3 linked regions of the Rhinolophus ferrumequinum genome follow. The protein of the gene in region 1 interacts with the protein of each later gene in a biochemical or structural test. Links are inferred from orthologs where the notes say so. Each region holds a gene or a part of one and is shown in the gene's direction. Other genes may lie near its edges. The genes, in order: DLG1, ARHGEF16 and TANC1.

Region 1 (3,744 bases):
GTGGTCACTATACTTCTGAATCACTATACTTCTGTTAATGGTTACAGTACAAGGTTCCCCAGACTTCCTTTTTATTCCAAGGATATGGCCTCGGTGAAAGGCTGTCGGGTTTACTGGGAAGAGTCTTTCGGTTTTGAAAGACACAATCTCCGTGTTTCCAGTTTTGTCGCTAACTGTGGGTGACCTTGGGCAAATTCTTCTCTCTGGATCTCAGAGCAGGGAGGTCCCTGTTATCTAGAAGGGGCTCAAGGACCTGGGCAGTGACTTGGAGAGCTTTCCGCGAGATTCTTTCTACAACCTGGGTAGCTCAGCCCCTGAACGGGGTCCTGGCCCGCCCGCAGTCCCGCTCGGAGGTGCAGTCGAAACTTAAACCAGCAATGCGAGTTAAGGCGGCTGTGCTTCAGAGGAGGTGGCTGCAGGTGAGTTCTTAAAGGGGCCGCCTGAGCTTGGGTAATACCTGAGGCTTATGACGAGGCAGGTGTCGCAGGCAAGGGGGGAATGAATGAATGGGAGAGTGAAAGAAGGAACGAATTTTCTCTTCCCATCATTAAATGTATTCATGCTTTGAATTAATCACTTAGACTTAAAACTCCTCTAGTAAAACCCTCAAACTCTTATCAATCTTCTTATTTTACGTGCCCTTCTTTAATTCAACCCCCCAAAACCTTTTACTGAATAGTAACTTTAAAAAGATCGGTACAAAGTAGAACATAGTGCAGAGATGGTACCACCCCCCGCCCAAACTCCCCCCTTGCTCCCTTCCTAGGCCCCATTCTCTCCCGCCCCTAACGTGGGTGGCACAGTCAACTCCACCCCGAGACCGCTTTTCTTGGTTGGGGATCCAAGCCTCGGGGTGTCAGGCACTTTCTCCTGACGCGGAGATGAAAACAGCACGTGTTTAGTGAGGTTAAAGGGTGTCTCGGAATGTGTGTCTTGGATCTCGTATAGGTGAAGTCACGTCTGTCTTCAGACACTCCGACCTTCCCGGGTCTGGCTCGCTACTCGCTCAGAACAGAGGGACACACCGGTGGGCTAGGGCGAGGTAAAGGCGGGCTCAGCCAGGGCCATCCCAGACCACCTGTAGAGTCCATGTGTCACTCCTTTGTCCTCAGAGCCTCTACGGTGGCGCCCCTTTAAGAGAGGGGGTTCACTTGGGATGCTCTCCTGGTCCCCGTTCTCGTTCCCCAGGCCCCTCCCGGCCCTCCTCCCCTTTCCAACCCAAAGGTAGCAGCGCTGAGAGCCCGGGGCTCGGCGCGAGCCGCCTCCTCACTTCCCATTGGCTGAGAGCGCCGGGAAAGCGATCACGTGGGGGCGCGGCAATCCAGCTCCGGGGCCGCCATCTTGGCGGAAAGTTTGGGGGGAGAGCGGTTGGGGGCGCCGAAGGAGGCGAGGTTCCGGGGGTGGGGCGGCTAGGAGGGAAGAGGGCGAGCGGGCTAGCTGGCTGCGGCGAGTAAGGAGGCGGCGGCGACATCGGCCGAGGAGGAGGAAGAGGCAGTGGGGGTGCGGCCGCCGAGGGGAGCTCCTCCCCCGTTCCCTCACCCCCCTCAGCTCAGCTCCTTGCCCCGGGCGGGGCGGGGGGACGTGGAGCGGAGCAGGGCGGGGGAACCGCCCCGAGTCGGATCGAAGCGCACCCCAGCTCCGAGCGCACGCCGCTCTCAGGAACTTTGTGGCGGTGCCGCAGGTGTGGGGGCCCGCGGAGGTGTGCATGTGGGGCACCAGGGCGTCGTGGAGAGCGGCCGCTGCCCTGTCCGGCCCCTGTTGGAGTAGCCCGGAGGAAGCAAGCCAGGAGAAAGGCAAGCGAGAGGTAGGGGCCCGGGTAGGGCGGGGTGATGAGCCCCGCTGGTCCCTTCTCGGAGCGCTTTACAGCCTCTGCTGGCTTAGGGGGCTAAGGGTCGGAGCGCCTCTTCACTCCTCCCCCCACACCCGCCAGTAGCAGGTGGGGAGTGTGCATACTTATGCCGGGGGAGGGATGGCCCCACGTCTAGGCATTTAGTGCCCTTTGGAGAGGGGGCAGCTTTGGAAGACAGTTTGGAAGCCGACTTCTGCCTGCTCTTAATTTGCAGAGAGGTGCCCACCCCTAGGTAAAACCTTGTCTAAATTGACTGACACTGAGGACCTTCCTTTCACTTGGGAAAACTTTGCCAGGTGAGCTTTTCAAATACGGCTGGGAGTTTTTCGATTTGAGATTTAGGGGGAAATCCTAGTTTAGCCAGGATTCTATTCTCTTCTTTAGTTCTTTTTCCTTTCTGTTTTGTGTTTTTAAAGGTGTGTACTCTTCCTGATTCTGGAGAAAAATGCCGGTCCGGAAGCAAGGTGAGAATTTATTTCGGAAATCTCTTGTGGATGTCACTTGCTTTTCTGTATGCCTTTTTTTTCTCATTGCTGTATTTTAAAAATGTTTGTGGAACTCTGATGGGATGGCACAGTGCTGGCTAGCCTTACTACTTAGGGAATCTAAGCCTCACGTCATTCAGAAGATGGAAACACCTGTATGTTTGTCAAACTTTTTACCTTGGCATCTCTCTAGTGATTATCAAGAGGCAATTTTTCCCCTCTGCAATGTCTTTAAAAACTCTGAATTGGTGTTTTAATATTTCATTATCATTCTTACTAAACACTTTTGTGAGCAAATGTGGAACTGGCTAAGAGCTAGTATTTTGAAACATTTAAGCTTTGGATTATAATGACCAATTGTAGATAATCTGCTTTTGCATATCAGATCAGCTGAAACTATGTTACTAATACTTTTATCAAATTATCTTTTATTGTCTACCTACCAGACACATTTATTACAAACTACTCACCTTCCTCCTTTTTCTACTGTGACATGTTTAAATTTTTTTTGGATCATTCTAGGGAATATGTGTATACATGAACATAGTAGCATCTATTGACGAGATGGATTTTGGGAACTGTTTAGCTGTCTTAGAGAATCATTTGCTACATAGCTAGTGTGTAATACTTTCTTGTAAATATATAATTTTAATCAGACTCTATTTTTCTTCTCAGATACCCAGAGAGCATTGCACCTTTTGGAGGAATATCGTTCAAAACTAAGCCAGACTGAAGACAGACAGCTCAGAAGTTCCATAGAACGAGTTATAAACATATTTCAGAGCAACCTCTTTCAGGCTTTAATAGGTGGGAATTAAAATTTTATTTGTGACCATTATGTGTCAGCTAGGTTTAATGCTCCTCTGAATTTGTTTATTTAAGACTTAAGAGAGTGATGTACTTAGTTCTCTGTGAGGCATTCAGTAACTTTAACATCCAGTGAATTGTATATTTTGATAGGCCAATATCCTTTTCAAAAATATCTGAGAACTGAAAAAGCTTTCAGTATGATTATTTTAGTCTTAGAAAACAATATTTCACATCCTAGCATTAACAACTAAAAAAGGGAGTAGTTACAAAATTGTTTCCAAACCCAAAAGGTAACAACTGAATAACTGTTAGCTTGTTTCTGTGACTTGAATTTCTCTGGAGTGCCTGAAAATGTTTGAAGAGTTTTGCTATGTGTAAGAACATTCGTTGCATTAACATAGACTTCTGTTTAAACTGGGAGTCAGAATTTTAGATCTGGAAAATCTTAGAGATGATTTTGTCCAATCTTATTTTATAGACAAGAAAATTGAAACCATTTTATTCTTAATTGTAACTTAAATTTGAGATGGTGCATTGTTTTAAAGGAGAACTGGACAAATAGTTACAAGTCCTGAATTCTATTCCTGACATTGTCATTAA
Region 2 (3,744 bases), on another chromosome or scaffold:
GGGAGGGGCCACTGCAGCTTAGGACTGGCCGGGTTTTGTGGGGCTGAGGGTAGGCTGTCCAGAGACCTCCCCTAACGCCCTTGCTCACTCCCAACCCACACTCCTCACTTCCAGGCCCCTAGGGCCCCATACCTGCCCCCGAATGTGTGCCAGGGACACCAGGGCAGGCTGGTGAGTGGCAAAGGGAAAATCGAATGGCATGGCTTCCAAGGGCTCAATTGTTGGGGGCCCCTCCTGGCCCACCCTAAGCAGAAGCACCAAAAGGTGGCTCGGACCGTCTGGAAGCCTCCGTGATGCAGCCCTGGGGGTCTCTGCTGACTCGAAGCGAAATACCCAGGTGGACTAGTTCTTGGCACAGAGTACCAGTGACTCTTAGGGAGGGCGCCGTCCCAGAGCGGAGGGGACCAGAGCAGAACAGGTACCCGTGATACCTGGCGTTCACTCATCAGTTTGGGAAGTGAGCCTGACTGTTTGTGGGGACGTGAACAGGAAATTGTCCCTGCTCCCGGAGGACCCACAGACTCGTGGGGGAGACAGACAGACAGCACCCAGCCCTCAGTGCCGTGGGCCTCTCTGGAGGAGCTTACCAGGGCCACCTTTGCTGGGAGCAGACCGACCTCCGTGACCTGAGTGCTCAGTGCAGTGTCCAGAGTGTCTGGCCTCTCGGTAACTGTTGCCCGGACAGCATGGCTGTCATTTGCCCCGGAGGCAGCTGAAAGGAGTCTGTGCTCTCGGCCCCTCCCCTGTGCTGGCTCCAGGACACCAGACAAGGGCGAGCGTCCAGTGAGGACACTGAAGAGATACCTGTGGATCCAAGCAGCGGACATTGAGGCAGGGGGCATCCCAAAGAGCCTGACAGGCAGTGCGCTCGGGTCTGCACGTGTGCATGTGTGCCCTGGGCACACGGGCCTTGTGCCAGCACCATGCCCACCTCCTCAACACAAGCGGACAGCCGGGTCCCGATGGGCTGGCTGGTGGAGGCCGAGACAGGAGGAAAAGTGTGGGAGAAGGAGTTGGGCCGGGGAACAGAAGGGCACTAGTTTGAAAGGAAATAGTCATTGTGTTCAGCGTTGACAGAAGATGTGGCACCCATAAAAAATAACAGGTTGCCCACAGAGCCGTGGGAGCCGGATGGTGAGAACGACAGTACGTGTTTGGCGGGAAGGTTAAAAGATGACCTCAAGGGAAGACAGATGAAAACAGAGAAGAGGTCTGAGTCAGGAGGCAACTTCAGTGTGTTCATGCTTGTCGGGTTTTCCAGACGGATTAACCAGAGAGAACACACAGGTGAGAGAAGTTACCGCTGGAAACATCTGGACTTAGAAGACACACGTTGGAAGGATGCATGAGTACCAGGCTCAGGGAGTGGGTCCGTTCCCGTGAGCGCCGGAGCCCTGGGCGAAAGCTGGGAGACCCACACCCCCAGCAGGGCCGAGGAGGGCCCCATCATCCGAGGACGGACCTCGGATACCTCACCAGAGTGGAAGCTGGAAGACAAAGGAAGAAGGGTCCTCCCTCTGGAAGAAAATAACCACTGACGGGACTTTAAACTCAGCCACGTCACCAGTCCAGGGGAAGGAGAAGGAAGACATTTCAAAGACCTACTTTCTGGTCACTTCCTCTGAAGGAGGGACATGCCAGAGCCCGGGAGGGAGAGGAGCAGGATGGAGGAGGGTCTGGACCGCTGGGCGAGCTCCAGCCCAAAAGCAGGGGACAGGCCAGGGAGAGAGGACAGGGTGGCTGAGGGCACACGGGGCTGCTGTCCTGGTGGTATGGAGCGCGTGATGAAGACACACCACGCGGGGACGCTGGAACACGTCCAGGAGGAAAGCCGCAGGTAAACAGGAGGGAATCATTGATGAAGAGAGAGGCTCGGGGGTGGGTCCGTCCCGTGAGCCGACACACACGCCCTTGGGCATCACCCGGCAGGAAGAGGGTGGTGACGGCCACGGTGGAGAGATCTCAAAACAGCAGGCTTCACCGTAGTTAGAAATGAGGGCAAACAGGAGCGCGGAGTGGAGACCCGGGGGCACAGGGCGCGGAGGAGGCCACACCTGTCTGACAACAAACCTCTTCGTGCTGTTGGACTTTGGCACCCGTGTCCAGGTAGTTCTGTGATAAATTGAGCAATAGAACAAGGGAGACGTGGTATTGCCTGCGGTGGCTGCAGCCCTGAGCCCAGAGCACCTGCAGACCCCGGGGCCTGGCTAGGGGTGCCCAGGCCTGTGGGTACAGCCACCCTGCTGAGCACCCCACATCTGGCAGTGGTTCGCCCAACTGGTTTCATCCGGGCACTTGCTCCCCAGAGAAGACTTTGCCCTCTCCTGGGACAGGCCTGGGCTCAGAGGAAGGGATGAAGAAGAGTCAGGCCTGAGCCCCAGTACGGGGACCCCGGAGGGAGAGGAAGGAGGAAGGACGGGGCGGGCGGGGGCTGTATGTGTGGGCACTCGGAGACACAGTCGTGGAGCCGGCCCTTCCATGCTGCCTGTTCCCTTAACAATGCAAACGCCTCACGTTTAGGGTGAAAGGACGCACAGGGGTTTCGAGGCTGCAGGCTGCCCACGTGGGTGCCCTTTATTTGGCATGCTCACAGATGGAAGTCGGAACCCCGTTTTCCGGCCAGGCCTGGGTAAAAGGCAGACAAGTTAACATAGGGGCGGGGATCCGCGAAAGTGCAAACCTGCCCGGGCCCAGCCCCGGGGAGGCCTGGTATGACCGCTGCCATCCTCTGCCTGAATGAACCTAGGAATGCGCGGGCGGTCCTCCTGGTGTGGGGGTGGCCAGGGCTCCTGGGGACAGGGAGGCGCAGCCCAGCTGCCTTCCTGCGCGGGTTTAGTGGAGAACCTGACCTGTGCTGGGAGAGCTGAGCGGATCAGGGGCCAGGCTTTCGGGTGCCCCGCAGGTGGTCCGACTGTGCTGTACTGTAGGCCCGCCCCATGTGCCAGCCCCACCCCACCCCCCTCGGGGGGGTGGGGTGGGGGGGGCTCCTGGAAGCTCGGAACCTCCCAGGGGAAACCCAGACCCAACATGGGGCACTGAGTGTATGAGGTGGGGTCGGGCTGGGGCGTACCTGGTGGGAAATGGTGCCAAGAGGCTGTGACTGATTCTCGCCCAGGTCTGTGGGGCCCCGGGCCCAGGTCCCCTGAGCTACCCACACGTACACCCCCAGCATGGGAGTGTGTGACTCCCCCAGAGGTGGCATAGTGGCCTCACACGGCCGGCCGGCCTTGAGTGCAGTCTGCCTGACCCTGGGCGCTAGAGCTCAGAGAACCAGCCGCCTGGCCGCAGCCTGGGTCCCCGCAGGCCTGAGACTGTGCCGACCCTCCCTGCACACCCCAAGCTGGCAGCGCTCCGACCTCCCCGGGGAGGCCTGGTGACTGTGGCTGTGCCAGGGCCAGCTCCACGGCAGGCTGCGTGACTGGCCTTCGAGTGCTCGGACCCGAACGCAGGCTCTGGGCAGGGTGGGTGCTGAGAGGGCGGGGCCGGTGGCCATCTGCGTGCTGCCCTCACCTTTGCCCTGTCGCCCAGGACCCTGTGGCCGCCCAGCATGTCCCAGCGGCACTCAGACAGCTCCTTGGAAGAAAAGATGCTGGAATGCCGCTTCCACTCAGAGCTGCAGCTGGATGCCAAGGGGAGCCCAGCACCCAGGCTCCCGATGGTCCGGCGGTCCCTGAGGGTCACGGACAGTGCTGCCTCCCAGCCTGATGTCCCAGGTCCCCCGCCTCCAACCTCCGAGGACACGGA
Region 3 (3,744 bases), on another chromosome or scaffold:
GAAGTTATTTCTTTCGTGACTGTGACTTCTGAAACTCTGAAGACATTTTTTCAACTAAACAGAATCTAAAGACGATTCCAGTAATTAACGTATTTACTTTATGTGTTTTTCTACTTACTACTTAGGGAGCTCTGAGGATAGAGAGGAAAAAATGAATTTCACTGTCTTCAAAACCCAATTTAACTACGCGATTTCATCAAAAACTTGGTGAATATAGCTTAGAAAAGCCAAAGACAGAATGTGATACAAATTGTCGATTTCTGCCATTATACATTTTACCAATTATAAAGAAGTCTGAGGCAGGGAATCAGACCAGTCTATTTCTCCGGGATTGTTTCTTTTATATCTCAATATTTCAGATTAGTTAAAACTACCATGGAGTTTCTCTTTTTTTCTTTTGTTTGTGTCATTCTTTCATCATTAAGGTTGCTGTCTGGCTTTTTCATCTATTGTTGAAAGATTGCTAACTTTTATGCATTTCAAGAGAAGTTAAATAAAACATATTACAGTATTTTTCAGCAATGAGACATTTCAGAGTGAAGAAATAAGTCAAAGGTTTTTCTGGTTTAATAAATTGATATTTTACTTTAAATGTTTCTGTCTTGCTTTGTTTCAGGAGAACTTCAATGCTGCTGATATGTTTACTGCTCAAATATCAGTGCAGAAATAATCAGGCCTTTGAAACATGGGTGAAAAATCCAGCAAATTTCAGCATCTTTTATTTATGTAGAGCGATTAGTGTGGCATTTTGCTTCCTGCCCCTTTTCATAAGAACTTTAGGTATGGACACTCCCCTCCCCGGATATCTTTACATTGGGAAGCTCTGCGTGAGGTTGAAGTTTTTATGGGGGAACTTGTTTAAAACAGTTGTCTTTAAAGGCGGGTTTGCCACAGCAAGGTTAGAGGTTGCCAATAAATCCATTTATAGCAACTTCTGTATTCCCAGTTACAGACACACCGTTGGGGTGACTCCTGCACAAGTCCCGCAGGCCACACAAGGCACAGCAGTCCTGGTTGATCCTTCGGTGACCAAGGCCGGTCTGGTCTGGTCTAAAGGGCTTTGGGTGTGGAGTGGGCTGAGCTCCCCAGCCTGAATAGGAATCCCAGGCTGCCTGGGATTCCTAGGAGAAGCCAGCGAAACCAGGACTCCTGAAACAGTAGGCCCTATCCCGGATCTCGGTCTACTGGGGAATAACAAAACATTTTGGGAACTTGGGAATTTCACTCACTCCTACCAGCCAAAACAATAATAGCATCTTTGTATTCTCCCGGCTCCATACCTACTCCTCCCGCGGATAAAAGCCCGTCGTTAGCCTTCGGTAGATGTAGCACAGACAGCACAGGGCCAGCCTGGAGCTGTCAGAGGAGGCTGTAGACACCGGGCCCCGGGGACGCCAGGGCAATCTCCGGTCCCTAAACGTCCCCAATTCGCTCTGGCGAAAGAAAGACACAGCAAGCAGGCGAGATGCTCCTTACACCTTCCATTATCTTAGCACATTGTTGCACAGAAAGTGAGTGTGTGTTTTTTTTTTGTGTGTGTGTGTGTGTGTGTGTGTGTGTAGTTAAGTGAGGCAGAGAAAATTCAAGACAAGTCACACAAGTCACCTTAAAGAATCCACCAAAACTTCAGCTTTGTTAATTGCTCCCATATGTCCTTCTCGGTTGTTTTTAAAAAGCAGCAAGGAGGGGAGGCCGGGTCACTTCACTGATTTTAAAGAGATTGAAAAAAAAGACTATCACCCATCTTGATCCAGTCCGGGAGTGACTCAAGCTCAGACTCGAGGGACTAGCCCCCTTGAGGAAAGCTGGAGACCTGGCCGGGAGAGACGGAGCAGGGGGGCGCCGGGCCTGAACCCCGCGGAAAGTTCGAGCGCCGCGATCCAACGGGTCCCGGGAGCCCCGGCAGCCCAGGGCGGGGAGGGGTGCGGGAGGCGCTGCCCGGGCCCGCGCGCGAGAGGAAGGTGCCTTCGGGAACACGCGCAAGGGCGGGGATTCGGGCTGCCAATGAGGCCCTGGTGTGGGCCGTGCGAGGCGGGGGGACGGGCGGGATCGCAGCCTTTGCTGTGGCAGCTGCAGCAGCAGCGGCCGCTTCGGAAGCGGGAGGAGAGGCAGCCGCGGAGCGCCGAGCTGGCCGCACCCGGAGGCCCAGCCCTGGGGGTGGGGAATCGCGCCGAGGAGCTGGAAACTTTCCCAGCAGGTAACTCCCGCCGCCCTGGCGCCGCAGCAGGCCTCTGTGCGCCCGGGGCACGGCCAGATGCAGCGGAGCAGAGGGGAGGAGAGGGTCCCGGGGAGGAGGAGAGGGTGATGGGGAGAGTGGAAAGGCATGTGGGAAAGTTTCTGGATCCTCCCCCGCCCCCCACTGGGTACACTGAGGAGCTTTCCGGGGATAGGAACAGACATGTTGGGCACCCCGGGCCTTGGTCCTGGCGTCTCTGGAGAGTCTGCGCCTTCCCTTCGCCATCCCCTCCTAGCTGTACCGAACCGGCCCCGGCGGAGCTGGGATTCGAGGGCACCCAGGACGCACAATCCCCCGGCCTCCTCGCCCCCTTTCTCGCCTCCTCTGTAGCCCTCGGGCTTGGCAAGGGCTTGGGCTACGCCTGGTACCTGGGGCGGGGGAGGCGAGGGAGAGGCGCTCCCAGCACCGCGGGGTCCAGGGTGACCTCCGAGTGTAGGGGAGCACGGATCGCGAAGTTGCTGGGTGAACTTAAGCCAGAGGAGGGTGATGTCGTAATACCCCAGTCTGGGCTGAAAGTCTATTGCTTCGCTTGGAAGAACATTGCAATGAGCATATCTATGTTCCTTTGGTGGTGGGGGGTGAGCCAGGTAGGATTAGGTATTGAGGGAGAGCTGAGAAAGACGAGAATTGTATCAAGATTGTAAATCCCCCCGTTCTTTGGAGAGTGGTCACTTTGAGGGTACTTATGTCAGGGCGCACCGTCTTCCTGAAGGACTTTGGGGTGCAGGCGAACAATGCTGGGGGTGTGCGGGGCTCCCGGCTTTGGCGCGGCAGCTTTCCGGAACGGCTGGCTAGGAAGGAAGCCCTAAGCATTGTGTGTTGTGTTTGCAGGCAGAAATGTCTCAGGACAAGCGTTCTCAAAACTTACTTGACTTATTGTACAAGGCTCCGGGAGGAAATGCGGCGGTGGCCAGGTAGAAATCAGGCGCCGCGGCCAGGGGGTCGGAGACGCGGGGCTGAGAGACTGTCGTAGTCTTCGCCTCTGAACTGCCTCCAGGCCACTCTCGGCAGCCCCAGATCCCCATGCCTGGAGTGATGGGACTCGTCTCGGTAGCGCTGTCCCCTGTTGGAGTCAACTCGGAGAGGTTAGGAGGGCACCTTCATCTTGAACTTGACCCGAGTTGCAGCGCCGTCTGGGCGGGTTACAAGGTAAAGAGAAGCTGAATCTTCCCGTGGGATGGGCCTCCAGCTCTGGCACAGGGAGGAAGTGCCTGGTTCAAGATCTTTTGAGGAAAGGGCTTAGGATCGCTGAGGTCCCTAGCTCTGGAAATACCAGACCACCAGACTGCAGACGTTAATAATGTGTTTGAAGGCGGTGGGAATGGGAGAGGAAAAGAGAAACCTGGTTTGTTGGTACAGAGAGTTGGTGTTTCTCTGTGGTGGAAATGAAGGGAGTCTGCATCTCTGCTTTCACCAGATCGGCTGCTCGCTCTGTTTTTCCTTCCTGGGTCATCTTTATTCCTGCCAGGCTGGCACTCCTGGGATGGGGGGAGGGGAAGGAGAAGAAA

The links.
Region 2: the proteins of DLG1 (region 1) and ARHGEF16 interact in a test that uses a peptide from one of them, tested with the Homo sapiens proteins (2 studies listed by IntAct, with this or other methods). The link is inferred for Rhinolophus ferrumequinum from reciprocal best matches to the Homo sapiens genes DLG1 and ARHGEF16.
Region 3: the proteins of DLG1 (region 1) and TANC1 interact in a test that uses a peptide from one of them, tested with the Homo sapiens proteins (2 studies listed by IntAct, with this or other methods). The link is inferred for Rhinolophus ferrumequinum from reciprocal best matches to the Homo sapiens genes DLG1 and TANC1.

The regions. Positions count from the first base shown.
Region 1 is NC_046285.1:51,451,725-51,455,468, reverse strand, and holds the start of DLG1 (disks large homolog 1), read left to right. Parts: upstream 1-1,393; 5' UTR 1,394-1,793; exon of another isoform or gene 1,794-1,804; intron 1,805-2,063; exon of another isoform or gene 2,064-2,145; intron 2,146-2,265; 5' UTR 2,266-2,294; coding exon 2,295-2,313; intron 2,314-3,009; coding exon 3,010-3,141; intron 3,142-3,744. UniProt on the Homo sapiens protein: Essential multidomain scaffolding protein required for normal development. Recruits channels, receptors and signaling molecules to discrete plasma membrane domains in polarized cells.
Region 2 is NC_046292.1:1,913,290-1,917,033, forward strand, and holds the start of ARHGEF16 (rho guanine nucleotide exchange factor 16), read left to right. Parts: upstream 1-1,203; 5' UTR 1,204-1,634; coding exon 1,635-1,837; intron 1,838-3,528; coding exon 3,529-3,744. UniProt on the Homo sapiens protein: Guanyl-nucleotide exchange factor of the RHOG GTPase stimulating the exchange of RHOG-associated GDP for GTP. May play a role in chemotactic cell migration by mediating the activation of RAC1 by EPHA2.
Region 3 is NC_046291.1:63,164,791-63,168,534, reverse strand, and holds the start of TANC1 (protein TANC1), read left to right. Parts: upstream 1-822; 5' UTR 823-2,197; intron 2,198-3,744. UniProt on the Homo sapiens protein: May be a scaffold component in the postsynaptic density.